Linked DNA regions of Arabidopsis thaliana. The protein of the gene in region 1 interacts with the protein of each later gene in a pairwise test. Each region holds a gene or a part of one and is shown in the gene's direction. Other genes may lie near its edges. The genes, in order: AT2G07749, SYP131 and RHA1.

What was found.
Region 2: the proteins of AT2G07749 (region 1) and SYP131 interact in a protein complementation assay, tested with the Arabidopsis thaliana proteins (one large-scale study listed by BioGRID).
Region 3: the proteins of AT2G07749 (region 1) and RHA1 interact in a protein complementation assay, tested with the Arabidopsis thaliana proteins (one large-scale study listed by BioGRID).

Annotation. Positions count from the first base shown.
Region 1 is NC_003071.7:3,239,650-3,249,956, forward strand, and holds AT2G07749 (Mitovirus RNA-dependent RNA polymerase), read left to right. Parts: upstream 1-7,584; coding exon 7,585-8,325; 3' UTR 8,326-9,708; downstream 9,709-10,307. Other genes in the region: ABCI5 (Cytochrome C assembly protein), read right to left, coding at 44-814; AT2G07773 (cytochrome B/B6 protein), read right to left, coding at 1,189-2,010; AT2G07655 (uncharacterized protein), read left to right, coding at 5,674-5,835, 5,910-6,334, 6,464-6,554; AT2G07776 (uncharacterized protein), read right to left, coding at 6,388-6,717.
Region 2 is NC_003074.8:964,215-975,020, forward strand, and holds SYP131 (syntaxin of plants 131), read left to right. Parts: upstream 1-4,835; 5' UTR 4,836-4,975; intron 4,976-5,023; exon of another isoform or gene 5,024-5,068; 5' UTR 5,069-5,099; coding exon 5,100-5,117; intron 5,118-5,504; coding exon 5,505-5,609; intron 5,610-5,695; coding exon 5,696-5,801; intron 5,802-5,901; coding exon 5,902-5,990; intron 5,991-6,078; coding exon 6,079-6,152; intron 6,153-6,233; coding exon 6,234-6,276; intron 6,277-6,351; coding exon 6,352-6,412; intron 6,413-6,510; coding exon 6,511-6,536; intron 6,537-6,614; coding exon 6,615-6,692; intron 6,693-6,766; coding exon 6,767-6,847; intron 6,848-6,923; coding exon 6,924-6,989; intron 6,990-7,072; coding exon 7,073-7,246; 3' UTR 7,247-7,477; downstream 7,478-10,806. Other genes in the region: AT3G03790 (ankyrin repeat family protein / regulator of chromosome condensation (RCC1) family protein), read left to right, coding at 284-423, 615-904, 1,055-1,267, 1,365-1,862, 1,995-2,651, 2,760-3,302, 3,419-3,622, 3,723-3,797; EDA30 (O-fucosyltransferase family protein), read right to left, coding at 7,976-8,405, 8,620-9,173, 9,446-9,574, 9,720-9,810, 10,097-10,209, 10,420-10,663, 10,792-10,806.
Region 3 is NC_003076.8:18,238,851-18,249,108, forward strand, and holds RHA1 (Ras small GTP-binding family protein), read left to right. Parts: upstream 1-5,412; 5' UTR 5,413-5,644; coding exon of another isoform or gene 5,645-5,683; 5' UTR 5,684-5,818; coding exon 5,819-5,881; intron 5,882-5,999; coding exon 6,000-6,077; intron 6,078-6,173; coding exon 6,174-6,341; intron 6,342-6,472; coding exon 6,473-6,521; intron 6,522-6,628; coding exon 6,629-6,702; intron 6,703-6,917; coding exon 6,918-7,011; intron 7,012-7,109; coding exon 7,110-7,210; 3' UTR 7,211-7,600; downstream 7,601-10,258. Other genes in the region: AT5G45120 (Eukaryotic aspartyl protease family protein), read left to right, coding at 2,153-3,628; NRPC2 (nuclear RNA polymerase C2), read right to left, coding at 8,566-8,616, 8,804-8,932, 9,027-9,130, 9,305-9,389, 9,540-9,610, 9,850-9,905, 9,998-10,123. UniProt on the Arabidopsis thaliana protein: Involved in the trafficking of soluble cargo proteins from the prevacuolar compartment to the central vacuole. Involved in vacuolar transport of storage proteins with EREX as effector. Regulates membrane trafficking to protein storage vacuoles (PSVs).

The DNA of each region.
Region 1 (10,307 bases):
TTCCAAGTGCATCCAGCAGGAATCGAACCTACTTGCCTCTTTATTAGGTTGGGCGCTTTAACCATTCAGCCATGGATGCAAAGAGAGCGAGTGAACTAGGTTTTGGTATTCCTTCTCGAGCTTCAATTTCTTCCGTTATAGGAGATTCGAGAAAAGATGGAATAGGAAGACGTGTTTCCAGAACAAACAAGATACGGGTTGAGAAGGGGAAGTTAGCAAAGTTAGACAAGATTGGAATGGGCATAGGAACATGTATTGATGTACCAGATCGGCTAATGCTCCCAGGTTGATGCGATGTATTCCACCAGTTGACTGAAGACTTTATTATTGGTATATCGATCGGTCCAGCACGAATTGAAATAGAAGCCGGTTCGACAGGAAGCTTTTGAAAACGCAGTGCACCCAGGTAAATAAGAAACGAGATGAATACAGAGGTCAAACGAGCATCCCACACCCAAAAGGTCCCCCACATTGGTCTTCCCCGAAACCCCCCAGTAACTAAGGTAAACAACGTAAAAAAAGCACCCATTTCTATACCGGTTCCGGAAGAGCGAAGATAAAGGGGATGTTTTGTTAATAGGAACAAGAAAGTGTTTATAGCCGTGGCGATATAAACAATAATACTCATCCGAGCCGCAGGAACATGTACATAGAGAATACGAGAATTTCCACCTTGTTGAAGATCTAGTGGTGCTACCCCAAGACTTAAATGAATAGCCATCGCTGTTAAGAACAACCAAGACCCAATGAGAATTTGCGCGTAGCTTCTGGTCTTTGACATCAAAAAAGAAGGTTGTAATAACGAAACGGACATGTGCAAATTTTGTCCTAGCTAGTGGAACAAGAAAGACATGGATCTATAATACGCAATCAAAGGATTTCCCCCAACGAATAATTCCCCCTCCCCTGCTTTGTTTGTTTTCGCTCTGCTTGTGCGTGGCACTCCTTGCTGGCGGAGCGGCGCATAGCGAAAAAAAGAAAAAAGGAAACTCACCACCAAAAGATCAGTCCAATAATCCCACTCACTGGTAAATAGCGCAATACTTCTTCGTGAATCTCCGCTATTTGAATATGGAACATCATAACAACGAAAAGGAATGAAACGGCTATAGCTCCTATATGAACTACCGGGAAGATCATAGCGAAGAAGTCGAGACCTAACAAAAGACGTAAACCTGAAATGGCGGTTTAGTCGTCGGAATCGCTTTTATTTATGTCGTAGTCAGACAGCAATTCCAGTAGCTCCACCCAAAACTTGTCTCCGTTTTTTCCTAACCGGGAATAAAGATAGTAGAATCTTTTCTTACGCCGATCGATATCGATCATTTCATGTTCAGTCATCACAACATTTATTGCTCGTTCTATATCCCGTTCATCCGGAATATGGTAACCTTCGGATACTAAGAGTTCATGTGTTTTTGCTATTATTTTTGCCTTGATTTTTTCGCATTTATCACTCTCTGCTTTTACTTGCTCCCCGATGGTATCTGTGTTTTGATCCTCTACCTCGAGGTTCAAGAAAAGGCGTTTTGAGCCACTTTCCTTGTACTCTTTCGACCAGAAAGGTGAACCCCTCTGCTGATCGTGAGAGTGCTCATTCTCATGAGCATAATATCCTTCTAAAAGACCACCCTCAGATGGATTTGTCGGGGGCATTGGCGTATTTCCTCCTCCTAGTCCTCCGGATACCACCGGGTAGAACTGAGAAATGGCACGACTTAAGTCGTCCATCCACAAGTATCCTACAGCAAATAAAGATTTACAGAGAATAACTGAAATAACATAAAACCAAATCAGTTGCCATTTTTTGGAAAGTTTGTTTATAATAGGAAGCGAACAAAAGGAATCTAAAAGGACTTTTATGCTGCAAAAGACTGGGATGGGAAACAAAACAGAATGTACAAAACGGATAATACGTGTAACCAGCAAACCAAAGACCAAAACTTCAGTACGGTCCGTGCGCCGTTTTTCTTCTCTACCATGACGAATCAATTGATTAAACGTGGGCATTATTCTCTTTCCTTTCTTTTTCCCCCCATTTTGTGCCCTATCACTTTACTCCCGATCCGAAGCACCCCTTTTCCATTCATATAGAAATCCAATCGTCAAAATAAATAAAAAGAGTCCATCATGGACCAAAATCTGCCCGAGACAAAGCTGAGCTGTCAAATAAGACCAACAAGGGATAAGATAGGGAGGCTCCTCTAAAGCTGGAACCTCTTCCAACCCCAGCACGGCTCTTCCCCGTCGACTCCTCGTACGCGTATCACAGGGGCAAACACGCCTTCAAAACATCTGGATCATACAAACTTCTCATTCAGTGGAAAAAACCTTACCAAGACTAGTTGCCTCAACGAATTGATATGCTTTTGCTTTTTGTGACACCGGCGCGAATGCTGAATACGGAGGAATACAATGAAATCAGAACAAAGCAGGTAGACCAAGCTAGCTTACAGAATTCGAGGAATTCAAACTCAGAATAAGCTCTTTTATTAGCACGTTTGGTAGCCAGAAAGGAAAGAGGTTCTCATTCACAGTGCCTTCTCCTTCTGTGATCACTGATCAAAAGGACATTCATTCAGTAAGGGATTGATCCTCAAAGTGGTTCTTTTAGCACAATGAATTACTTATCTTATAATGAATTACTTATCTTATATAGTAGTGTAACCTTCTCTTCGTACAAAAAAGCCTATTCTGAAAGCCGTCTTTCAATGCCTGTACCCTAGGGCGAGCTAGGTTCAAGGGTACGCACCTAGTAGCTGCGAGCCTAAGATTAAAGGCAAGTTCCCTTGGTTCGGCACGCTTTCACTCAGTATGATAGGCTACGGTCAGATTCGCTCGGTCTAGGTATCACCTTGATGCGCGTAGTTATTGCCTTGATCCCTTTCCTTTGCTCGGGTCATTCCATTGCCTAAAAAAGTGAGCCTGGATCTTCGGAGAAAGGATTTTAGAGCTCTGTGGAGAAAGTCTTGAAATATTGGATGCTTTCTTTCGTGGTTAGGCGGGCATGGCATCAACTCTGTATAGGTGGGTTGGCCCGGCCGGCCAAAGCTAGATATAGATCGGTTGGCACTGGATCTGCTGGATAGAGGTAGCGGCACAGACAGCTACGGATGGATAGAATTACGTCAGCTTGTCGGGTCAGTAGATATGCCCAGGATCCATTTTGACTAGAAATGAAATGGTACAGAGAAGCGCAGTGAGCGGTAGCAACCATTGACTACTCGGGCCGGGCCTTGCAGCCAGAAAATGGGACTCGATCAGCTCAGCCCATTGACTCTTTTATGGGGAACTATTAGAGACCTAGGAAAGTCAAGATGCCACCGGGGCGTAGAAAGAAAAAGGCTTCTTCGGCATGATAGCTCTGCTCTGTCGGATAATATGAGCCCCTTATGGAACAGCTCACTCCGGGGTGATTCTGGTTTAGTCATAGAATACAGTAAATCCATGCGTTTGTCTTCGCCTTTTCGGAAGACCAAGACAGCTAGACGATAGATTAACCAAAGCCATAAAGAGAAGATCGATATCGCACAGAAATCCTGGATCTATCAAAAAAGCCCGCCAAAGGTGTCCTCACATGAAATCATGAAAAGGATCCGAGCCCATCAAAGACTCTACTACATGAAAGGATCTGAATCTATCCAAATAGCTGTGGCCCATGATCCAAGGGACCCGCAACCAGTCAATCATGCTATCCTTACCTTCCAACCAATCGGAAAAAATTACGTTCAATTCAGGATCGAATACATCTTTGGCTTATGAGTTATGCGTTTTCTCTTCTTGGCACTTTATGTCTGCTAGTGCATAATCATGCTTATGGAAATAGTGGAGGTTGAGCAGTTTCCCTGATGAAGAGAACTCTCCTTCTCTAAACAAGCTTGCCTGTGGGCGTCGAGTAAGAGCATCTGGGAATTGATCTTTTACGAGACAGCCCGGAGTTGGTCTCGTGGCTAGGTCTTTAACCGAACCGGTTCGGAATAGAAAGTCTCGGTCAATGAAGTGGAGTGGGCTGAAACAGAAAGTTGGGTATTGTATTTTTATGCTCGCTTGGCCGGAATCCCCTATAGTGCTTTTCGGGCGAAGTGACGGATTACTTTTTGAGTGACTACCCTCAGTCTTTCAGAGCCTCGGGATAAGCTGTTCTTGTTTCATAAGCAAATGTGGCAACCTGGTGGTATAGTGAGCTCTCTCTCTGGATTAAGCTTCGGTCATTGATAGAGAGGAATCACCTAGCCTAGCATTAGACTCGACTAGCTAGCCTTCCTTGGGCGGATTGCTTTGAATAGCGTAGTTTTCTTAGCTCCGGGGACTGCCTTATCTACACTATGAGAAATGTTAGATGCAACCATTATAGTATAGATATATTCTTAGATGATTACTATATGTGATTTCTTTCATACAGTCTTAACAAATATAGAGATCTTCACCATAGGAGACTAGCTTGAACTAAATCCTCCAACCTTAAAGCAGTATGAGAGAGGACGGATACCAGAAAGAATCACCTCGGAGCCGCTATGCCACTATGAGAAACGTTATACTATAGATAGACATGAGATGATATTCTATAAGGAATACAATGTTTGAAAAGCAAGAATAGATAGAGTTGAAAGAAAGGCGCTCGTATAGAGCCCTCGACTATGTATCGGACATATGGCAGGTTGGGAAAGCGCGCTTGGAAAAGAAAGACTATCCTCGAGGTAAATGTAAATCAATCTATCTCGCATTGCCCAATCTGAATGCTAAAGGCTCGTAACCCCCTAAAAGGAAACTCACCACCAAAAGAAAAAGGTAGGTTAACTAACGAAACTCAAAACTACATTTTAATTCTTGCTCACCGATAATCCTTTATAAAAAATATTATACAGCTGTATACAGGATTATTGGTATAGCTGTCCACTAGCCGAAAATCGGACACCAAATTATTGTAGACTGACGACCTGTCCTTAATAGAACCGATCTGACTCTCTGAACAATCGGAATTTCGTACTTCTGTCGGATCCTCCCTATCTCCTGATCGAGCTTGTGTAGGTAGATGTTGCCTGGTAGGGCCGATAGTAGTACACTGTGTGGGACGGAGTAAGGGCCCCTCTCAACTCCTACGAGTCGTCCGGCGGAAAAGACTTTCTGAATGGAGTAAAAGAACTTGGGATCGTCGATCTCTTCCTTCAAAATTTGGATGAGTCGATGTCGGTCGATGGTGTGAAAACACTTCCTGATGTCGAATTCTAAAAACCAGCGAGAGATTCCCCACTCTTCTTTGATCCGTCTTAGGACCGAGTGGCAGCCTTGACCCGAGCGGAAATGCGATGTGTCTGGAAACTCGGGATCGTAAATGGATTCGAGTACCATTCTGATCGCCTCTTTCATGATCTTTTCTATAGGTAGAACTACTGTGAGCGGTCTAAACTTCAACCCTTCTTTCTTTCTTCATATTGTAAAGGGGGGAAAAGCTCGTTTTTTGCTCCCCTTTTTTATAATCAAAGGCCCCCTCCTGCCGTCGTTTCAGTGACTCATAGGGCTTCCCTCAGTTCAGTCTTTTTGGTTCTTGAAAATGGTCGCCACCTCTCCTCTTCTTTCAGTCGATGGGGTTCCTCTCCTTTTAGTCGAGTAATCAATACCTCTCCCAGGACCGGAATGATTATCCCTGCCCGATGGGTCTACATCCATCCCTGAATGTCGTCGGGTACTGTTCACTTCCCCGCCATTCTTGTAACCGTCACCTGTAATCCGCGCGGGTGTGTCCGCACCCCCCTGAGTGGACGAGAAAGAAAGGATTTCTCGGAGCAACCCCCCAGGTTCCAGACCCAGGAGTCAACTTTCCCGTATGAGCATTCGGTACATGTATCAGTCCGTGGGAAGAGGTGAAAGGGTCACCACTACTGAGGATCTCCCCCCCCCCCTAATCTTAGATAGGTCGTCTGAGGGTTCGCCGCGGTTCATTGCTGTGCTTACACACAAGGCTACCCTTCTCCGAAAGCTACGCGGGACCACCTACCACTAGTCTTCGGCCGGAGGGGTTTATTGCACAAAAACGGCCGGGACGCAGGCTCCCGAAGAGGGAAGCCCAACGAATGTCAGATGCAAAGTTCCGCACCTCATTAAGATCATATTGGCATACTCTCCCAAAAAAAAAAGAGCAGACCCCATTGAAGACGAGAGTAAGGTACAACAAGGCCATTTCTGTCCACCGCCCTTCTCACGGAACCGTACGTGGACGTTACCGCTCATACAGCTCCCAGCCAGCAAGCACAGTTAGCCTTCCTCTACAAGAAATGGAAATGTGGATGAATCGAATGAAATCGAGGAATTCGGTTTTTCTTTTCAGACATGATAAGTAAGAGCATCCCTTTCACAAAAACCTACGGATCCCCCTCCTATCCTGCCACTTCAGCACCTTGTGATCTTTGAGAAGATCATTACGAGCCCTTTCCTAGAATGTTTTTGTAGATTCCGAAAATTCCAGAGTGGATCAGGACGAGAATGAATCCGGGAATCCAGGGCATACTCATCCTGGAGCTTCCGCTCTCCTCTGGGAAGGGCTTTTTTATGGATAGAGAGATGAGTCGAGGGATTGATTACTCGACTAAAAGGAGAGGGTAGCCTCCCGTTTGACCGATTTCTCGGAGTCGGAAGAAGATCTCTCATCTGATGACCCTGAACAAGAAGGAGCTGCTCTCGATGTGAGATCAGCAGCAAAAGAAAGAAGAAAAGGGCCATGATGATGATCCTATGTTCGTTTTCGCCCTGCCCCTATGATGCGCTCCTAGCTCGCAGAGCATAAGTCAGCGCAAAGGAGAGATACATCCTTTAAGACTGTGAAGAGAATCCTTGGTTTGACCTACGGACTACGTGGGAAATACGAGATCTAGGCAAGCCGCTACATGTTCTCCCCCTTGCCCTTGAACGATAGAAGAACTACTTATCTTCTCTTAGATAGCAGTCGATCGGTTCTATGATCTATGGTCAATCAATAGGCCCACGGATCTATTCTTCTATACGATAAATTGCCATCTCGTAGCACCACAGCCTGGGGGTAAGACTAGAAGAGGAGATTTGCTTGGTCTTCTGTGCGGAATCTGCTTCCTAATCAGTGTAGCTCTTGGGTCAGCTCACAGCTAGGACGTCATCAGTTCTAAAGGATTCCTCACTAGGGAGACTCTCTCCTTATGGGCAAGGGAGGCAGATTTTGATGGGGAGAAGGATTCGGAATATAGTTACATAAGTCCCCTTCCCTCTCCTCAATATAGTTTCACTCGAGTCACGTCAGTACCTCTCCTTTTAGTCGCTCGTCGAGACCTCATCAACTAGTTAATACCTCCGGACCTCTCCTTTATCAGTCGAGTTTGTGTTCACAACCTCTCGAGAAACAAGTTCGAGAGTTACGTACTTTCAATGCTCTCTCTATTCCTTGCTAATCAAGGCCTGCAAGGGAACTGGCTACGACTATAGGCGGGACGACATGCTTTTAGCTTCCCTGAAATAGGCGACTTGCTCGCTTTGGCAGGAAGTATTTTTTTTGAAGAATTGAACAAAAAAAACTGAAATTTCTGTAAATCATTAAAACGGGACTTTCTTTAAAGAAAAATGGTCTCTCAAGACGGTACCTTCCATCAAGAAGGTCCTATCCATCGTCTGGCAAAGAGACGCCCAAGATTTATAGCAAGTTTTGACTTGAGCGCTGCCACCGATCGGTGGCCCGTTCCAGTCATATATGAGCTTATGGCGTGCCTTTTCGGTCAAACGATGGCATCGTGCATTGTCAATGGTGCCTTAGCACTCAACTCATGCTCTTTGAAGTCCGTTACTGGACGGCATGACGAAGTTGTGTTTGTTGCAGGTCAACCTTTGGGTTATTACGGCTCCTGGGCTCTATTCGCGTTGTCCCACCATGCTATTGTGTGGTTGGCAGCATTACGAGCATATCCTCATCAGACGAGACCATTTCTCGACTACGCTTTGTTAGGTGATGACATCGTCATTGCCGATCGTAGTGTGGCTAAGGAGTACCGTTCTCTACTTGATGCTTTGCAAGTAGATATATCTGATGCCAAGTCTATTGTATCTGAGACGGGTTGTCTTGAGTTCGCCAAGCGGTTCTGGGTTAAGATAATGTCGAAGGACTTATCCCCAGTATCTGCGAAAGCTGTGCTTGAGAGCTACTTCCTCGTTGGTACTCAGCAGTTGGCCTATAAGTACAAGTTAAGTCCTAAGACTTGTTTAAGGTTAAATAAAGCTGGATACCGCGTGCTAGGACAAATGGACACTACACTAAGGCCCTATCCCGGCGTTTTAGTCGGATTCAGGCGTTATCTAGTAAGCTTTTAGTCGGTCCTGATCGGTTACCACTCGAGTGGTGGATTGGAAGAGGATTACCTCTCAGTCCCTATCTTCGTGGTGTGTTAATTGCAAGGATTCGGGATGGGATGAAGCTTAAGCAGCTCACGCCCCCTCCCTTGGAGATGTTCCTTTGTGGAGAGCCAGAAGCACATATCGCAGAAAACACCGCTTATAGACATTGTATGAACAATGGTGTGAGTACGTGGTATGGTTTGACTTCGTTCCTCGTCGTGCCCCTTCCCACCTAGGAAGAGATACTAACCCGCAGCTGCACTTGGTGCAATCACAGCAGAAAACCCTTCTCCTAGACATTCCTCGGGGGCAGACCACACCACCTCGGAAACAAACAAACAGCACATGCAGCAACAGAGACAGGCGTTCATCGCTCACTTACCTGCATACATCATGACAACTTGTTCCCATCTCACCATGCAGAGGCGCGTAGCGAGTAACAATCCGGTCCATGTGCTGGCTTGGCATGGAAGGCAACCCTTTCTTTTTCGCAGCGCTACGCGCCTCCACATTCAGTGAAGAGATCCCGGACAGGGAAGTCAGAAGGGCAGTTACTCTTCGGACCTAGCGGCCCTGCTTTAGCTGCACTTGGTGGTTCCCCGCTCGGGATTTTATACTGGATTTTTCTTTTAGGGTTAGTGCAAGGTTGGCTTGTGCGAAGTCGACAGGGGTGGTTGAGAAACACGTTTTATTGGGATGGGGCAGCAGGCAATGGATACCGTTCCCCCACCAGAGCCTGCAGTTGGTAGGCCAAATCCCTCTGTCCAAGTGATTGAGTTGAAGCTTTTCAGAGAAAGGGTAATTTCTGAGTGAATCAAGAGAAGATGCTCTAAATGACCAGAATTAGGCGCCCTATCGCTACTTTGTTATCTAAGGTCCCACATCGATCACAAGGTTTTTTTTTCAACGTCTTTGATTATTTACTTTCACTTGCACTACTATGCTATGCTACCACGGGGAAGTTCTAAATGGCGAAAGAGAATCCTTTCAGTCCAGGCACTCAGTGCAGTCCAGACGCTCAGGAGAAGACGGAGGTTAGGAATGCTGATTGGAACCAATACGATTGCCCAGAGGAGCTTTATAGGTATCCAGAGTCCCGCACAAGGAGCAGTTGAGACAGATGCGGAAGAAGGTGCGGCCGAGACGGTTGATAGAGATGATCCGGCAGGCGGAGAGTTTGATTGCGACAGTCCAGCCTTTCATACGAGAAATGGCGGTGACCGTTTGCCCTAAACAAATATCTCAAGATGTAACACATATGCCTTCTCGTAGAGCACTCCCAGAAGCTACCCTGAAGCCTGATCGTGCTTGGAAAAGGCATTTCATTGACCGAACCCGACCCATCCCACCGAGAGTGCGAACTGCTCTTTATTCGCTTCATAGCTGGGCTTTGCATTGGAACCTCTGATTGAGCCCGCGGAGTCGCCTTACTGCTTGAGTGAGTAAGCCATTCAAGATTGTTGAGCTTGGCTCACTTCAGCTTCAGAGCTCTGGCTATTGCTTGCTTAGAGGAGGAAGCAGGCGTGTGGTGCTTCCCGCAATGAAGTGTCTTCCCTTAGATTCCTCTTTATACTCAAGAAGATTAGAAAAACACTCTGTGGAACTGCAAGTGGCGTATTGGAGACTGCACAGCAAGTGGCGTAGTGGAGTGAGCGAGCATCTTATTTGCCCGGATGGAATAGAGGTTTATCCTATTCTCTGTAAACAGAAAAGGAAGTTGTGCTCAATGACTGGAATAAGCTAGTACCATAGATTATTAGCTATGGACTACTCCTTAAGCTAGAGGAGACTTGTTTGTCTGGGATAAATTGTCATTCTAGACCCGATTGGAAAGATTGAATTGAAAGCAAGAACATAGACCTGACGAGAAAGACCCACATTTTGAATATTAACTTATGATAATCAAAGGGAGTCGTGGTTACGGGTAAGGTTAGGAAGGGCGGGAAGGACTTCCTTAC
Region 2 (10,806 bases), on another chromosome or scaffold:
GATATGGTGACTGGAGGAGGAGCTTAATTGCTTTTATTCCGACAAAGTTTTCATGGTCTAGTTTGTTGCGTCTATATGAAGATTTCTACTTGCCTATGGCGTTACTGTGGTTTCAAAATTTACCTTGCTTGATTTCTGATGGAACATTGAAAGATAAAAACAGTCTTCTATTCTAAGCGTACATAGAATCATAGGTTGGTAGTTTTTTTTGTAGCTTACCATAGGCTTTTCGTAAGTTTATATAAACCACAATTGAGTTTATTTTTCTGGTTTGCTATCTCAGTGGTCAAGCTGCAGTGATTACTCCCCGCCAGGTGATATCTGGTTTAGGATCTCGCCGTGTAAAAGCAGTTGCGGCAGCTAAGCACCACACTGTTATTGCTACAGAAGGCGGGGATGTGTACACATGGGGTTCCAATAGAGGTAAAACACTTAAACGGCTTCCTATATTTCAGGAATGGATCTTTAGTGCTATAGTATACTCAAGTTTTAGTTTCGACCTCTAAGCCCAGTTTCTTAGTTAATCTGAATTAGATGGAAATATATTCAATCTATTTGGGTCACCTCGTGGTCTTTTATCTTAGAGTCTGATGTTGTTTGTGATGCTCTTGTAGAGGGTCAGCTTGGTTATACCTCTGTGGATACTCAGGCAACACCCCGCAAAGTGACTTCATTGAAGGCGAAGATTGTAGCTGTTTCTGCAGCAAACAAACACACCGCCGTAGTTTCTGACTGCGGTGAAGTTTTCACTTGGGGATGCAACAAGGAAGGTCAGCTTGGTTATGGAACCTCCAACTCAGCATCAAACTACTCTCCCAGATTGGTTGATTACTTGAAAGGAAAAGTGTTCACGGCTATTGCATCTTCAAAATATCACACTCTAGTGCTGCGAAATGATGGAGAGGTAAAATTTCTTACTACATGTTAAGTTAAACGTTTTAATACTATTATTTCAGTGTGTAAAGTTTATAGAATGTATGAACTAGAGTATGAGAACTCAATTTGGATAAAAATTTATTTTTCTTCAGTATTTCTTTCTTTCTTCTGTGACCAGGTGTACACCTGGGGTCATCGGCTGGTGACTCCAAGACGTGTTATCATTTCCCGGAATTTAAAGAAAGCTGGGAACACACTATTGAATTTTCATCGAAGGAGACCTCTTCGATTGACTGCAATAGCTGCGGGAATGGTACACAGCTTGGCTCTAGCAGAAGATGGTGCATTCTTTTATTGGGTTTCCTCTGACTCCAATCTTAGATGCCAACAGGTTGGATTCAACCTTCTTTTTTTATCTTAAAAAAACATATAACTCAATATGTCTCGCATAGTAATAACCAAAATTTGGTTAATCCTGATTCCTGCAGTTGCATTCGCTGCACGGTAAAACAGTTGTGAGCATTTCAGCGGGTAAATACTGGGCATCTGCTGTTACTAGTACAGGTGAAGTTTACATGTGGGATGGGAAGAATGGTAAAGATATTGCACCATCTCTTTCTCGCCTCCACAACTTGAAAAGGGCAACCACAGTTGCTGTTGGCGAAACTCATCTTCTGGTTGTTGGTTCTCTGTATCATCCTGCATATGCTCCTATTGTGCTTAAGAAGTCTCAGACACTGCAAGCTGATAAATGTAGGGAAGAAGAAAATGAAGAACTGGATGAGGGTTTTATGTTTGACGATGTGGAATCCGTGAACGTGTTGCAATCCGTGCAATACGATAATCCTAAGGAGAGGATAGTGCCTAGCTTGAAAAGTTTATGCGAGAAGGTGGCCGCGGAGTGTATTGTAGAGCCACGAAATGCTATTCAATTGCTTGAAATTGCGGATTCGCTTGGAGCAGAGGATCTTAAGAAGTACTGTGAGGTAATGCAAACCTTCCCTATGTGATGATTGCACACTAAACCGTAGAGATACAAAACTTAGAGAAGTTTATGTTCAGTGTTCTCTTTCTATGTTGTGGCTGATGATTACCTTACACGTGTGTTCTCCCTGCAGGACATTGTGATTCGAAACCTTGACTTTATTTTGACATTTTCTCCCCAATCTATTGCAAATACATCACCTGATGTTCTTGCCAATCTTGAGAAATTACTGGATGACAGATCATCTGAAACATGGAGCTCCCGACCACTTCCAACCCCAACAGCCACATTTCCTGTTGTTATTGACAGTGAAGAGGAGGAAAGTGAGAGCGACATTCTAAGAACTCGTGACAGCCATGTGAAACACTTTTCCAGTATTGGTGGTACTCGAATGGATTCATTCTTGCAACCAGAAGATGAGCTGACTCAACACAATTCCAAAGAAGTCCGAGCTTTGAGGAAAAAGTTGCAACAAATTGAGATACTTGAAGCAAAACAATCGAGAGGACAACTTCTTGATGGTCAGCAAATAGCAAAACTTCAAAAGAAACTAGATATCGAAAGTTCACTGGTAGAACTTGGTATTCCTGTGGAAGAGTTTCCAGAGGCAAAAGCAACAACAGCTTTACCGCTAGAAGGAAAGGCCAACAAGAAGGGAAAAAAGAAGAAAAAGGGTAATCAGAGATTTGTACAAGTTGAGACATTCCCTGAATTTGGTGAAGTTAAAGTGGAAATAGATACGATGCAAGACAAAGAAATTGAAGAAATCTGTGAAGCTATCAAGCCAAAGGTTAGTTTGGGTACTGGTTTTTCATGATGAAATGTCCTTTGTTAACACTTGATCATATTATCCATCTGCGTCAGTTGAATTATTTTTGCTTTGTATTTATTCTACTAGGGTGGCAAAACCATGTTGGATACGACGATGATTAGTGGGTTCCCCAAAGAATCAGACTTTGTCTCACTCTCGCAAAAGAAAGATAATCCACCCGATTCGCCGAGAAGCAAGAAACTTGCAACGGCAGCAAACAAGAAGAAGAACAGAAAGGGTGGGCTTTCCATGTTCTTGACTGGTGCTCTTGATGATGTCCCTAAACCTGTTGTTGCTCCTCCACCAAGGCCTAAGATTGAAGGTCCTGTGTGGGGTGGGGCTAAGATTTCTAAAGGATTATCTTCCCTGCGGGATATTCAAGATGAACAAAGCAAGACCCGCTCTCATGAACCTGTTAGGACTACTAAAAATCAGTCAGGGGATGATTCTCCTGGTAAAAGTGAAGGAAAGATATTACTGAGTTCCTTCTTGACTTCGAAGCCGATTCCGATGGAACCAGCCAAAAGTTTGCAGCAATCTGATGTGGAAAAAGGAACTCCTCCTTGGGCTTCCTCTGAAACTCCGCGTAAACTGTCTCGACCTTCTCTCAGAGATATCCAGATGCAGGAGGTACGTTGTCCTCTGTTTGAAGAATACTGATACCGTAGACAAGATTATCTTGTTGCATCATAGTTTATGTTTTAAAGCTCATTTTTCTTTCGGTGTCTTTGTCTTGTCTAATGCAGGTGAAGAAGCAACAGTCTCTGTCCCACAGTCCAAAGACAAAAACATCAGGCTTCACAGTCGCAACCGGGCAAGGATCTCCATCAGATTCGCCTGGAACTAATCGCTGGTTCAAACCAGAGATAGATGCTCCATCAGCAATCCGATCAATCCAGATAGAAGAAAAAGCCATGAAGGATCTCCGCCGCTTCTACAGTAGCGTGAAGGTAGTCAGAAACCAGCCTTGATGATGTGAGTGAATGAGACATTACTTTTCAAGAGCTCTCATTCTCAAAACTCAAAAGTGTTGTAGTTGTAACTGTACAGATGATGTCTCCACTGTTCATTGGGTCTCCTCTTAACTGGTCAGCCATTTTTTTTCTCTTTCTTTCAATGTGTTAGTCTTTGGTAGTAGCTGTCAAAGTAATACTCATGCTTATGTACATCACTGGTGTACATGAAGCTCTTTAGTAGTCTTCACAAACCATTTTAGATGTATATATTTCGTAATAATAAGAAAAAGCTTATATGATTTATTTCAGTAATATTCCCTTGTGTAATCTAAAACATTGACTTAACAAAGTCAGAAATGTAGAAGGTGTAAAGTGTAACTGTTTCCTAAGAAGATATAAAGACACAGAAGCAGAGTACTCTCTTGTGCAAATCAATCATCAATCTTCCTGAGATTTCAAAACGGATAACGGCAATTTCGGATTTTGATTTAAGTCCGGTTAAATCGGATCGGTTAGATTGGATATAATTAACAGACAAAAAACAAACACAACCCAAACGAGAATAGGGCCTTTTGTTAACACAACCCAACCCAAAATTGGGCATTTTCTTAATATAAAACCAAACGAATGGGCCTTTTCTGGGTTATATGAATCCGGCCCAAAGGCTAAGCTGGTGAAGTACTAGCTTGCGGCCCGTAATATTAACATTAACATTAATATTATCAAATTTCTTAAGTTTCCCTTACCACGTGTCTTGTTTTTCTACAGTTAATTGAAATCTTTGATTGATCGGATAGATCTTTCTGAATCTCTTGAATTTTTACTGAATGAAGCCAATGAGGCGCTGATTAGTGCTTTTTTTCTGGTTTTCTTGAGAGCTAAAGGAGATAGATACCTTTGAACAAGTAGAATCTGAGACGGACTTAACTATTTTACACATTGGTTTTGTAGATGACTGTAATTGACCTAATGGTCCCTATATGTAATATTAGTTTTTTTCTTGTGTAGCAAGAAAGCGTCGAAACCAGCTACTGACTGTTGTTTGGTTTGAGTCTCATTGTAAAGATACTGTCCCAAAATAAGAGTTTGACTAAAGATTTGATTAGTAATCTGTTAACAACGAAATTTACCTCTCTTTTTTGTTGTTTTATAAAGAGCATAGAATTTCAAATGAAATCTTAACCGTTGACTCGAACCTTACGTGCCTAACAATCTCACATTTGTGCTCTGCTTTATACGGTGACGAAGCTCCCTTGTCTCTTCTATTGATTTTTATAGGATAACCAAAAAAACAAAAACAAAAAGAAGGAAGAGAACAAAAGAGATCTGGGTTTATTACAAAACCAGGTTTGTTTATCTTCTAATTGTGGCCATTTTCTTTTTCATTGATTTTGCCAAAATTTTGTTAATTGTTTGACAAGTTTCCTGATGCTTTTATAGATCTTTTGCTCTGTTCCCGTTCTCTCCGACAATGAACGACCTCTTAAAGGTTTGTCTTATCTTTTTCTTCACACATTTTCTCTGTTTCGCTTTGACATTACGTGATCAAGGAGATTTCTGCTCTAATCCAAACAACCTTTTCGTGTATCTTTATTAATTTCTCTCTAAATTTTGAAATTAGAAACTCCGAATCTTGGGGTTTAAATTCGCTTGGTATACAAGGTTTCTCAGAATTGACGTTTCTTTAGTTCGGCATTTATTCCGAGAAAATCCATGATGAAGAATGCTCCTGTGAGATTCAAAAAATCGTTTATAGAAGTAAAATGATCAAATAAATCTGGAGGTTTATGTTGGATTTAGTGGGATAAATCAAAGATCAAACGTTGTGAAGCTTGTAAGTTTCTAAGATGATGTGACAGATGTTTTGATTGGACAGGGTTCGTTAGAGTTCTCCAGGGATCGCTCTAATAGAAGCGATATTGAGTCAGGACATGGCCCTGGTAACTCTGGAGATCTCGGGCTCTCTGGTTTCTTCAAAAAGGTAAAGCTTTTGTATCCCTCTGCAACTCTTCTCAATCAGTGCTACATATGTGTATGACTATTGAGATCATCATATCAATTGTTTAGGTCCAGGAAATCGAAAAGCAATATGAGAAGCTTGACAAGCATCTCAACAAGCTTCAGGGGGCACATGAGGAGACTAAAGCCGTCACCAAGGCTCCTGCAATGAAATGTAATCCAAAACGAGTTCGATTTTAGACCACAGAAACAAGTTCATGATGGAAGATTTAGATGAACTGAAATTTGGTTTCTCTTTGTTTTTTGTTCCGCAGCAATCAAGCAAAGGATGGAGAGAGATGTTGATGAAGTGGGAAGAATTTCTCGTTTCATCAAAGGAAAGATCGAGGAACTGGACCGAGAGGTTAGGCTTAGAGATGAATACATTGTTTGTTGCATCTGTTTCTATGATCTGGTCATCTTTTGTTTAAGACTTGGATTGATATCTTCAGAATCTGGAGAACCGGACTAAACCGGGTTGTGGGAAAGGAACAGGTGTAGACAGAACAAGAACAGCCACAACTATGTGAGTTTTAGCCTATTAAAACTCAAGATTGTCTATATACAAGTATCTTTCAGTCTTCCTTGACGCTTTTTTCTTCGGCAGTGCGGTGAAGAAGAAATTTAAGGACAAGATATCTGAATTCCAAGTAAGTTTAGCAAATTCTGAAAAGAAAATGTTCTCTAAGAAAGTTGTCCTAAGCTCTTATCTTTGTCACCTGCAGACTCTAAGACAAAACATTCAACAAGAATACAGAGAAGTTGTAGAGAGGCGTGTGTTTACAGGTTTGAATTGAGAATCTGTCTGAAGATTCACCTGTTCCATTAATGATCGTTTAAGAGCTAATTGTATTTTTGTTGTTCTGATTCTTGACAATGGTTAGTGACTGGCCAACGAGCTGATGAAGAGGCAAGTTCTTATAACTCCGATTTAATTGATTAATACCCTATTGAATTAGTTCATGATTGTTAATTTTCGGGTGTGTAGACAGTTGATAGATTGATTGAAACTGGAGACAGTGAGCAAATTTTCCAGAAAGCAATCAGGGAGCAAGGACGAGGACAGGTTGGTATCTATGTTCCGGCACTCATCTGTGCAACACGACAACTATAACATGCTTTTCTACTGGTTCTGTGCAGATAATGGACACACTGGCTGAGATTCAGGAACGCCATGACGCTGTCAGAGATTTAGAGAAGAAACTCCTTGACCTGCAACAGGTAAACCTCGATCCGATTCACCAAAAACTCTCAAGAATTCTCATCATTGATTCTTCTCTTTTATGTTTCCGGTTAGGTGTTTCTCGATATGGCCGTGCTGGTGGATGCACAGGGAGAGATGTTAGACAACATAGAGAATATGGTAACAATCTCTTCAGTACCTGTTTAAATCCCTGAGCTTAGATCTCTTCAAAATCCTTTCTTACTCTGTTTCTGTTCTAACAGGTCTCAAGTGCTGTGGATCATGTTCAATCCGGAAACAATCAACTAACAAAGGCAGTAAAAAGCCAGAAAAGTTCAAGGAAATGGATGTGCATTGCCATCCTTATCCTTCTTATCATTATTATCATTACTGTCATCTCTGTTCTCAAACCATGGACACAGAAAAATGGTGCCTAAGGTTCTATTCTCTCTGCCCTGCTTCTGAGGCTTCTGTATACAACAGTATATACGTGTATCATCGCATCAAGTACTATTGACCTTACACTATCACTATAAAAATGATGTATTCTTTTGATCGGATCAATGAATCAACTATTTTACAGAGGCCAAAGTCGAATACCATTTCAGTGAACAATCTCGGCCCAACGAATATGAATATGAATATGAATATGAATCAGGACACAGCAAGTTTATATTAAAATTCTGTTGAAATATACCTTTATCTTTTATCTGTAGTGTGTCAAAACAAATCCAGAAAAAAACTATTGGAGAAAAAGGGATAAAGAATCTGAATATGAACCTTTAATCAGATTTACAATGATGAGAAAAAGAAGAGCAAAAGATACCTCCAGCTTCAAATTTGCTTCAAGGGAAGCCCTCAGAGAAGGATGAAGCATAACGGACATCCTTTGCTGCATCAGTTGTCCGTCCTTCGATGCATAAGGGCGTCCGGAGGCAATACCGATATCTTTGAGAAGGTCTGACGTATAAAGAGTATGCAACTAACTTGCAAGGAGCTACTAACAAAAGAATAATACTAAAAGCTTATTCTCAGAAAGGGAAAAAAAGCCGGGAACTGTAAAAAACAATAAAAAAAACCTCTGTATGTTTGCTTCTTCGCCTTTCCTGAAAGAATCTGGGTAAAATCAAATAACACCTCACAGCAGAATTTGCATAGTAGTCACGCTAGTCATTAGGATCCCACTCTTCATCTTGGTCAAAAGCTGAAGCTACCTTACTTTTTGCAAATTCTTCTTCAGTTTCTGACTGTTCAGCGAGAAGGTCATGGTCATAATCAGGCTGATCACCATCATCAGTTTTACTCTTTTCCACTCCCGCTGATTTTATCCATTTAGGGCATTCATCCTCACCTCCATAGAGAAATCTACCATCATCACTCTGTATTTGCCTGGAATCCTCAAGGGCTGAGGTTCTGCATGAGCATTCAGGAAGTGGATGCGAAAGGAACGACCTAGGTTTCGACAACATAGACTGCCTGATAAGCCCACTTTCACCCAAACTTGAGTTAAGATGTTTCCTCACACGAAGTGTCCAGTTACGGTTGGGATGGTACATGTCCTCACGAGTAATGTTGAAAAGTTCTTGAATAACTTTCCTGTTTGAGCAAATCAGTGAACAGTTAATGAATTTTGCAAAAGAGAAATTTTGTAAAAGCTAGTAACTCATAAGATGCATGTATCAGCTAAAATTACGGATCAATGAACCCAAAAGAATAAGAAGATTATCGGCATAAAAGGTGTGCAATCAACCTAACTATGAGGAAGGACGGTAGATGCAGTAAGTAATTTTTTATCAATAATTCTGCTTACCTGTCCAGTCTATATGTTCGTGAAGAGGGTCTTTCATAGAGCCTTTGACCCATCACCAAACTTGAAAAATCTGGCCATCCACTACCATCGTTGTTGAACCCAGGGAAGAACACATCAGCTTCTACAGAAACAGCAAAATCAAGGGCATCCCACAGTAACCTGTGTGCTTGATTCCTAAGATCCATAGGCGAAGGGCTTGGTTCTGTGTCATTCTCTGTAAGCCAACCATACCATCCTTCTTTTTCGTGCTGGTAGATAGGTCTGTCTGGAGGAGGAGGTAGAGGTCGAGGTCGAGGACCTGCCTTGTTCCACTCTTCCTTGAGCTGCTTATCGCTTTTTCGAGGAGGCATTTTATATGTATTCTCTGGAAGAGGTGTCTCAGGACCAACCAATTCTGATAATTCCTCCGTGCTGCATAAAGAAGTCCGATCCACTAAATTAGGGAACATGGCACGTAGAGGGATCAAAACCCGTTGGCCGCCAAATATTTCAGAACCAGCCAAGTATATGATCGCTTTTTGAGAATAACCCAATGCTTTCAAAAGAATTCCAACCTGCAAAATTTCAATTCCAATTAACTCTTGGCATCATAAAGCCAATTTAGTTCCATCAGAACAGAAGTAAGTAAGCAATCCAATTGGAGCTTGAAAACAGTGTATCACATGGGAATTACATACAAACATAGAAAATTTAAATTTAGCTACGTTGCTTGACAAAAAAATAAATAAAAAAAAATTAGCTTCGTCGTAAACTCCAAGAATTCAAGCAAAGGGTACCGAGATATAATAATACATCCATATAGCATTATTTGAGAGAAGCTCCGTACCTCTTCTGGCATGAGAGGACATAAGCCATTATCCCTGCGCAAGCGCGAGTCTACAATAAGTTCTTCTAAAATAAACCTCTGCTTGATCATCTGAGCACGCCGATATTGGATGAGTTCACTGTGAATATCCTTTGAGGATTGAAAAAATGCGTAGAGTCAGAAACTACTTCCCCATGTATCTCAATCACAAAGGATACACAGGAAAAAAACGTAGCTGATATAAACAGTTTGTTCTATCAAAAATATACAGATTGAGAAGGTTGAAAACTTTTACCTGGAAAAGCTCAGCACAACCATGATATGCCAATTTCTCCCTTACTAAGCCAGGATGATAAGCTAGGAAAGGTTGACCTGATTTACGTAACCTAGAAAAGGGAAATTATCTTCCTCAATTATGTAAGGAATGCACGGTTTTTAGGGGTAGATAGACAAAACCATGACACATAAAATCTTAACATTTACATCAAGTCCCAATCTAAATTAAGAAAATGGTAACCCCTAAACTTAATTATTATAGCTCTCAGCTAGATATACTTCATTATCAAAGAAAGAAAAGCTTAGCATCTAATGTTCTTCTCCCCCTTAGTAATCCTATATCATGTATTCGTCCCATTCTTCAATGAATTTTTGAATTGCAAGTATCACAAATACCTGTCAACCATCTCCTTGGCCAGCACCTGAATTTCTGGACGAAGCTGGAGGGCATGGAAGGCAACTCTACACCTTAATCTTTGAAGTTCAGGCATTGAAGCGGGCAAAGCTGACTGAAAACAAGACAACTTCGTTCAGGATAAAACACCTTGTTTAACTAGTCCCACGACTTCTACTTACATTTAAACATTAAATGACTAGAACATGTTATGACGAGTGATGGTAGTTAGCAGGCAGAAGGATATATACTCAAATATCTCTATAGATATAAAAATTACTGCATACAAGATATAAGACTCTAAGGAGAAAAAAACACTCAGTACCTGCAAGCATCCCCCATCAGAGACGATCAATCCAATAACATTAGCTTTCTTTAACTTTGGCAACACATCCTCGAGGTAAAATTTTGGTGACGCAGAGTTTTTGGGCTTAAAAAGAGGGAACTCATTCCTTTTTCTTGCGGCTTTCAAGCTCTCAGGGAGGGTCTTCATAACTATAACATCATTTTTAAGAAAGGCTATAAACTGCTCTTCATCATAAAGATAGGAGAAACTCTTGAACTTGTTGCTGCACAGCATGTGAAAAATAAACTAGAGTAAAGAAGAGTCTAGTACCACGGCAAAGAAGTACGCTTTAACAGAAAATAAAACAAGTAAAGATAAAAAGAACAAGAAAATGGATAGAGCTAGGCGCACCTAATGCCTTTTGAG
Region 3 (10,258 bases), on another chromosome or scaffold:
ACTTCTCCGACTGTGATCTTTTCACTTTCCAGGCAACCCCGAGATGCAATTTACTAATAGGCCCCTGAATTCTTCCTTGTCATATTAATGTGACCATATCTTTTCTTCCTACTTATCAGTATTTGAAAAAATGGTCTAATTGGTCGTATATCGGAAACCTAAAAAGTTTCTCAAACAAAAAAATTATTAATATTTACTTAATTAAATTTTTATTTTAGTGAAAAAATTGAACCATTTAAAATAAGAGAAATGTTATGATGACTTGTATAGATTATCTCATAGTTTTTCACTTGAAAATTTTTTTACACTCTCTCTCTTCTCTTTTCATTTTCTAAATTATTTTAGTAGTGAGAAACTATCTTGAAAATTTTTTTACACTCTCTCTCTTCTCTTTTCATTTTCTAAATTATTTTAGTAGTGAGAAACTATCTTGAGAGACTACTAATGGAAATGGTCTTAGATTCTGACTATACGTTCATGTGACGTATAAATTATTACTTTGACCGCTTATAATAATAAAAATATTTTATGCTATAATCTGTTATGTTGGCTAATGCATCTTTCATTGGAAAAATTCTGTTAACTAAATATTTTTTCCTTACATGATATAGAGATTCTAAAATGAGCTAATTGACATGGTACGCTCTGCTCATCATTTTCTAAGACGAATTCAGTTTCAAATTCAGAGTCTAGTAGAGATGCTTCAATCAGGAGACTAACCCTAGTATGATGACGATTCGCTGCTATAGGTCTAACATAAAAATTATTCCCATACCTAGAATCACTAAGACAATGAAAAATACCCTTCAGAAAGTACGTCATGGTAAACTTCAAATCCTCTAAATCCTAAAAGATTATCCTAGAACGCTCCTTGACACTCTACATTTCTTATTCGACAATTCTTAATTTGTTTTCAATAAATAGTTGAGTTAAATTGAACTGATTGGAGGTGTTGTTCTAGTAAATTAAAAAAAAAACTAAACAATGTTTTGAGCATAAAAAATTATTACGTTGATAAGATTTAACATATAACTTCTAATTGTAAAAAATATAGTACATGAAAACTATACGAAATATCTAAAAATAATAATTTATGTCACGTTTGTGATTAGTAATTATCAAAAGTAATATACTTTACACAGTATCAATACGAGGTTTCCATTCAAAACTAGCATTTTCGTTTTTTGTATTTTATATAATATCCATTCAGGCCCGGCTTAGAGGCAGTGCTGGCAGTGCTAAAGCACTGGGTCCACCATTTTTTTCTAATTTTTACAAGGTTTTAAGATATAAATTTTTTGGTGGAGCGGCTTACGTGTGAAGCTCCACAAAAATACATTTTAATTGGACAACATGCAAAATGATATACTACTGAGTACAATATCTATGGTGCACTCATTGGTACGTCATAAAGAAAATAATATTATCTATATAATTTTCTGCAACTCTTTATATAATTGGTTACATTTTTAAATTAAAAAATGTGATAGTTTTTGAAGATAAAAAAACTTATAATATGTTTTTCGACCAATATATCATATATTTTAAAACAGAAAAGCAATATATATTTCCGAAAATTTTATTTTTTACACTACAACGTATAACTTACTAGTGTGTATTAGTTTATGTCATTTCCTTATCATCCAAATTCAAACTTGCATAAAATATCCTAAATATAATCACATAATATCAAACTATCATAATAAGTTTTAGGTTCGCAAAATTAACTTTATTCCAGTGATGATTGATGAAGTGCGGTCCATTTTATGAAAAATGACGTAACTTAAAATATCACATGGAAAAGTACATATAAAGCTTAATTAGTTTACCAACATTAGTTAAATAGTTAATTAACTCCATTTTTGATTCGCTTTTTCCATAGGTGTTTGATTCCACTAAGTCGTAGTATCCGTGTAGTAGGAATTGGTTATAAAACGATCAAATATATTAAAAGTAAAAAAGTTTACCAACATTTTTTAAATACTAATTCTTCTTCCTTAATTAGAAAGCACAGCAAAATTGTTTGAATAAGAGTTTTGAAACCCTCGTTCATGTCTATAAATACCGGAACTAACTTCACACTAAACATATACAAAATCAAACCTTTCATTTTACATTTGTTTTCTTTTTCATTATCTTTGTAAGCTAAGCGATGGAAACCCAAACACACGTTTTGTTTCTCTTCCTACTCATCACTCTATTGTTAAACACCACCAACAAAACCCAAGCAAGACAACATAAAAACCCTAGTTCCTCCTCATCTTCCTTTCTTGTCCTTACCTTGACCAAATCAAGTGTTTCTCTTCCCACACCAAAGTCTCAAACCCAAGAAAGGATCAAGAAGCCATTATCATCAGTAGATGTTGTAATGGAACCCTTGAGAGAAGTGAGAGATGGTTATTTGATAACCTTAAACATTGGAACACCTCCACAAGCAGTTCAAGTGTACTTGGACACAGGAAGTGATCTCACATGGGTCCCATGTGGGAATCTAAGTTTTGATTGCATTGAATGTTATGATCTCAAGAACAACGATCTAAAATCACCATCGGTCTTTTCTCCTCTTCATTCATCTACATCTTTTAGAGATTCTTGTGCTAGTTCCTTTTGCGTCGAGATCCATAGCTCAGACAATCCTTTTGACCCTTGTGCAGTCGCCGGCTGCTCTGTGAGTATGCTTCTCAAGTCTACTTGCGTAAGGCCTTGTCCTTCCTTTGCTTATACTTATGGTGAAGGTGGTCTTATCTCTGGGATACTAACCAGGGATATACTGAAGGCTCGAACTAGGGATGTTCCAAGGTTTTCTTTTGGCTGCGTAACGTCCACTTACCGGGAACCTATTGGCATTGCTGGATTTGGAAGAGGTTTACTCTCTCTCCCTTCGCAACTAGGCTTTCTTGAAAAGGGATTTTCCCATTGTTTCTTGCCTTTCAAGTTTGTCAACAATCCTAACATCTCTAGCCCTTTGATCCTAGGAGCCTCTGCTTTATCGATAAATCTAACCGACTCTTTGCAATTTACTCCCATGTTGAATACTCCAATGTATCCCAACAGCTACTACATCGGTTTAGAATCAATTACAATAGGCACAAATATCACTCCCACACAAGTTCCTTTAACCTTAAGACAATTTGATTCACAAGGAAATGGAGGAATGTTGGTCGATTCGGGTACGACTTACACACATTTACCCGAACCTTTCTACTCACAACTCCTCACAACTCTCCAATCAACAATCACATACCCAAGAGCCACTGAAACTGAATCAAGAACAGGCTTTGATCTCTGCTACAAAGTCCCGTGTCCTAACAACAATCTCACTAGCCTCGAAAACGATGTAATGATGATATTTCCTTCAATTACATTCCATTTCTTGAACAATGCAACCTTACTTCTCCCGCAAGGTAACTCTTTTTACGCAATGAGCGCCCCTAGCGATGGTTCCGTGGTGCAATGCTTGTTGTTTCAGAACATGGAAGATGGAGACTACGGACCGGCCGGAGTTTTTGGGAGCTTTCAGCAGCAGAATGTGAAAGTTGTGTATGATTTGGAGAAAGAGAGAATTGGCTTCCAAGCTATGGATTGTGTCTTAGAAGCTGCTTCACATGGACTCAACCAAGGCTCATGAACAAAAAAAAAAGTCATCAATCTTATGAGTTGATTTCGGAATTGTTTTGGCTTCATCTTTTTTTTTTTTTTATGTTTGTTTTGTTGTTGTTTAAACTGTTTCGATGACTCTTTGTATATGGTGGGAGTTTTCTTTTGATTATGTAATGTTTTTTTTATAATTACTTTTCTTCTTTTGGATTAATGATTATTCCTGAGGTGGAGACTTTACTATATATAGAGAGAATGAGTTGGAAGATGGAACTTGGGAACAAATCGTCGTGGAATACGAGGTGTATTAGACTTTCAGTTGTGCAAAGGGACAAAACAACATGATCTGTTAAAATTTCTTTGTTTATACACCACAAATTAATGCATACACACACAGTATACATGTGTAACGTTTTTGATGTTCCCGTGAAAATAGATGTGTATTTAGAGCCTAGATGGATAGATTATGATTGGATGAAACATTTGTAATATTTTGACAAAAGTTTACCATTTACGTTAAATGTAATAGAATGAACATTCCTCTAAAAAAAAACTCCCTAAGCAAAAAATTACTATAAGGATGAATGGTATATCGCTTAGTCACGTTTTCAAACGCTATTTTTTTACATTCAAAATATTTATCAAATTTTTTTCGATTTCACGTTTTCGAAAAGTAATTCGGCTGTATACTACTAGGCTACTAGCATGTCAATATACCTAGAAAAAAACATGATTAATCCACTAGAACTATATTTTCATCCATTAAACTAATTTATTCAGTTCAATTCATTCCACTAATAATTATTCAGTTATTCCGTCATTTCACTATAATTATAAGTTATAGACAAGTTTTTTTTACTAACATGTTATAGCTATCCTTCAAAAATGGTACTTAGCAATAACATCTTATAGCTATTCTGAACATCCATAATGTTTTGTCATCCAATTTTGTTCTTCAAAATAAACAAGTTAAAATTAATTTCTCGTCTTCAATTCTAAATAATTGGCTCCACTGATGAAAGCCCATAACCCATATGGAAAAACGTGCATTTCAGCATTTGTGTAGATAGCGATATTTTGTTCGACTACACAGAAAGTTTTTTTTCTTTTTGACTACCAAAGAAATTTGATTCATAGTATCTTCGAGTTAGGTACCAAAACATGTAAAACAGTCTCGTCTTAAACCGTCCAATACGACTTCATGACCGACAAAATTAAATCACACGGCCAGTTTTGACGCGTGAGACAACAACCTACTATTGAGGATTTGGCTAAACACTCGCCACAATGCTTCTATTGTATTGACAATATTTGTGTTTATTTCATTTGTTATTAATAAAGACAAATATCATAAGTAATAATTGACTACTACTAATCCATAATTTAAAATGTTATTTTTTTTGAACCAAGGACTACATAACTAACAACTTGTGACTAAAGATTACAAAACATGTTTTAGTCGTTATTTTTAATCATTATAGTTTATAGTAATCGCTATTATTCGTTGTTATTGCTAACTATGAAATGAACATGGTTGTACATTTTGTCCCATCACTACCACCAAAATTTTTGGATTTTGTTGAAAAAAGGGAGACTAACCATGGTTTACAAAGAATCTATGAAATACTAACGAAACTATACACAATTATCGACTTTATTATTAAGAGACATCGTCTACAATATATGAAGGTCAGCGTGTAACATATTTTTGTTTTTGGGGCGTTTTTAGTATTTTAGACAAATATAGGGATTTATCGTAATTTCGATAATCTTGTGGTTTTTTTAGTTATAAGTCTCCTCTTGTCATATTCACGAGCCGTATAAAAAAGTTGTTTCTTTCTTCTCTGTTTTTTTGCTTTCGTCTTCAAGAGAGAGAGAGAGAGAGATACAAAGAGAGAAATTTGGTTGTTTGTTGACGGAAGCTTCTTCGGTCTCTCTTCTCCGTCTTACGATTGTCAACGCGTGGTTCCATCTTCAATTTTGTTTCTATTTTAGCAGAAGTTTCTCGAGCTTCAAATACTGTTTCAGATCAATCAATCAGTCAATCATGGCTAGCTCTGGAAACAAGAACATCAACGCCAAATTGGTCAGTTTAATTCTTCTGGATTTTGCTTATCCTTTGAAGGATGATCGTCAATTTTGATTAGATCGTTGATTTCGATGAGTTAGTTCTGTTTCCAATTTGGGGAATTTTCAACCAAATTCTCTGATCTGAAATTGGATGATTGTGATCGAATTAGAAATCGCATGGTTTATCAGTATAAAACTAGGGTTTGGAGTAAAGGTTATAGATTTTATTCGATCTGGTAGTTTTGTTTTAGGGTTCTAACGAGTCAGAAGAAAAATCTGTTTTTTTCCCCCTTTATTTTGTTTTTGGTGGTTAACTTGGTTAAGCGCTTCAGGTATTACTAGGAGATGTTGGAGCTGGAAAATCAAGTCTTGTGCTACGGTTTGTGAAAGATCAGTTTGTTGAATTTCAGGTTGGTTGGTGGCATTTTCCTCCTGTGATCTTGATAGAGGTTTTCTTCTCGTTCCTGTGGTTGATTCTTGACTTTTTGATACTCGTTTTGTTGTAGGAATCAACCATTGGTGCAGCTTTTTTCTCTCAAACATTGGCTGTGAATGATGCGACTGTGAAGTTTGAGATATGGGATACAGCTGGTCAGGAACGATACCACAGTTTGGCTCCAATGTACTACAGGGGTGCAGCTGCTGCTATTATTGTCTTTGACATTACTAATCAAGTACGAACTCACGATCCTTGTGTTTTTAGTCACGAATGCACTGACTTACAGAATATCAGTGGACTTTAGTGGCAGTTTAAGGCTCTCTGCAAAGTTAGGTTTGCTTAATTTTTGTTTTTCTATTGCCACAGGCCTCATTTGAGAGGGCGAAGAAATGGGTTCAGGAACTGCAGGCACAAGGTATGGAATAGCTGACTTTGGTTTTAGCTAGTTTATGATTCCTACTTTCTGATAGTTGGTGTGGTTTATTTGGTATCATTATATGTTAATGTGGATCATGTGAATAGGTAACCCTAATATGGTGATGGCTCTTGCTGGAAACAAAGCTGATTTATTAGACGCAAGGAAGGTGTCTGCAGAGGTAAACTAAATCTTTCTTTCTTTTGCTGTCTGATTTTGCTTTGCTAATGCCAAAAATCTTGATGAAATTCGAAAGTACCGGGAGAAAATGTTAACTAACACTCGGGGATGAGATTCGACTGGTGCCTGTGAAATCTTCTATTACATCACCTACCGACTTGTTTTTTTCATTACTGAGTTGTGTTGTTAAGTAGTTCTTGATATTGTTATTTACAGGAGGCAGAGATATATGCTCAAGAGAACAGCCTTTTCTTTATGGAAACCTCAGCGAAGACCGCAACAAATGTCAAAGACATATTCTACGAAATAGGTGAGTCATTCTTTCATCAAGAAAGCTATTTCCAACAATTAGTTGTTTTCAATTAAATCCCTTTTTCACTTTTGTTTCTCTTGTTCAAACCGCTACAGCGAAAAGGCTACCACGTGTACAGCCAGCTGAAAACCCGACAGGAATGGTTCTCCCAAACGGGCCAGGGGCTACGGCAGTGAGTTCATCGTGTTGTGCTTAGATTCGTACCTGAAGAGAGATCTCATTTGGTTAGTCACATAGTAGAGAACATCTGGACTTTCATGTGTTTGCTTCTTCTTCGTCTTTGTTACTTTACTTTGCTTGCATTGACAACAACAACAGTGTATATCATGATGATACTTATTCTGCCTTTGTGAAATCTGAAGATATTTGTATTTGGAGAGATTTATATATATATATCTCTTTTGTAATTAGAAAACAAAACTTAGTCCGAAAAAAATGTGCTTATCTTTCGTTTATGTTTTAAGTGAATGCTCAGATTTATAGGCTTATTATCTTTTGTATTACTTAAATCTCCAAAATGTTTTTTCCATTGTTGGAATGCTGTAATATGAATGTATATATCAATAAAAGAAACACCTTTGAAAAAAAAAAGTGGCATTGCTTCTCTCTCCCTTCTCTTCTTTCATCTTTCAAAGAGAAAGAAGTTTTTCCGTTCAGATTTTGCCGGCGTTCTTCTCCAATGACTTTGGTCTCACTTCGATAGCATCTTCGTCCGGCTATGAATTAAGTGGAATGATATTCTTGTCAAAGCTTTCGATTTCCAATTGATGAACTGCAACTTGAAGATTGAAAAGCTGTTGTTTGAAGAAGAAGATTCACAAATTTGAATAAAGTGGAGTCATATTCTCGTCAAAGCTAAAATATGAATTTCGCCTTTGTATCTTTGGGCCAAGATTGAGATCTGCCGATTGAACAAATTTTGGCCGGAATTGAAACTTTCCAACGTCTCAAAGACGTCACAACGATCTGTGGGTGATCGGAGACTCCCATCCCTTCCACTTCCCACGTGTCTTCCAAACCTGTTTCCCATTTGCAACATGTTTTATATGTTGTGTACAACAAGCTTTTCCTTTAGTTGGACTTGTTTGTTTCAGTATTTGTGAAATATTGACCTATCATATTGGCTCTGTATTATGAATAAAACACAATTGTGACAAAAAAACGTAATACTAATTTAATACAAAAAAGGTCTGCTTTGACGGAGATGTTAGAGTCTTGGTTGCACTAATCAATGGTACAAGACTAAAACTTTAATTTGGTGCATATTAAAGGACCCATGAAGTCAGATTTTGGAAGAACAAATTTGAAGAGATACAGTTCAATTGGGTAAAGAGATGGTAACAAGCCAGCTGATATTCTTTCTACGAAAAGTTAAAAACATTTTTCATTCTATTTTATTCCAAGGTTTCAGTACAACAAATGAGAACAAAACAAATATGATCCAACCTCGAGGACTTTGACAGAGGCACCAAATTTCAAACCAAAAGCAACCGAAGTCGTATAAAATACAATCATCCAAGTTGAAAACAGTTTGATAACATTTCTCTGAGATCAAGCCTCTGTGAGTTTCAGACGCGGAACAACATTCATCGACTGGAGTTCCTGTTACCACGTAATGCGCACAACGATTAAGAAATAACAGAGAAACAAACCAGTAAAACCGAAAACATCAGTGATTCTTACTTATTTTAGGAAGAAATTTATATCCAGAGATCAGAATTATTTTATCATTTTCCAAATGGGACGAAGTAGAGAGTTTCAATTTGAAGAATAGACCAATGGTTTTTACCTGGAATAGTAGCTTGCATGCGTATGGGAGTTTCATAGTAGCAATGTTATCGCCATTTTTACATGTTGTACAAACTGCTTTCTTAAGCTTGTAATTGTAATAACCCAACAAACCACAAGCTCTGCAAACCTGCATTCAAACGTTTAAACAGTGTATCACAAAATTGCAATCATTTCTCACAAGGTTTGTCATAATTCAAAACAGTGCATTATGATTTAATTACCTGAACTTCGAAAGGATCACTAGATATCATGAGCCGCTCGTAGATCAACATGCTGGCTCCATAAGCAATTAGACAATCTCTTTCCATTTCTCCCACTCTTAAACCTGCAACAGCATTAAAGATACAATTGAGAAGTTGACAAAAACCTTACTATATTAGTAGAAAACAGAACAATAACGTAACAAGAGTAAAATGGAATTCTAAATTATTTCCTAAATCAAGAAATACAGAAATAGAAAGTCCAGAGTGAAGAAGATACAGAAGCAAGAGGCACATACCTCCATTCTTAGATTTCCCTTCAGTAGGCTGTCTTGTCATCATAACACGTGGTCCACTCCCTCGCGCATGCATCTTGTCCAGAACCTATTTTAACATATGTACAAAAACGAGAATTTCTCTTTACATTTTCAGAAAAAATGTTACTGTACTCTGATATTTAGAATTTTTTTTTTTTTTTTTTGTGTGATTACAAAACAGTAGAAGATGGTTCAAATAAGTTAAGAGGAACCTCACCATGTGTTTCAATTTCTGGTAATATATTGGCCCCATAAAGATGTACGCTTCCACTGGCTCGCCACTGATACCTGAAAAACTCTCAAGGTCGTCAGGTTGATGTACAAATAAAGAATCATGAACCCTTATATAGCTTTGGAATAAGAATGAGTATGTCCGGGTGTTAACAATGTAAAATGATAATGTCTTGGCCCATTTTAGTGTAGATCCTAAACAACTCTGTATTCAAAGAAATAAACAACAGACACTAGAATGCACTTTAACATATAACTGCACATTTTGAAATGTGTACAGAATCATAATGCAGTACCTGAGTATAACAAGTCCTTCCCACTGTATGAAAACCCTTTTTCCACAAGGGTCGCACTGAAATGATTGAAGAGCATACGGTGACATTAAATGCCAAAACAAAAGTTTATATATGGAAGAACTTTTATATATAAGAGAGAAAAGAGTACCTTATAGTCTCAACCTTGTCAGCATGACCACTTCTTTCTCCAAAAGCACTACCATAATGAAATCTACCACAAGAAACCCCAGCCTTACTTCCAAGGAGTTCTATCATCTTACCTACAGTCATACGACTGTGACAAGAAATATGTTAATACATTCGTCAGTTTTAATACAAAATCTCAAGTAATCAAGAACTTCAGATGAAACTCGAAAGCTTTGGAACGAAGGGATGAAGCTAACTGTTGCTTCAAGTTAGCTACCAAAAC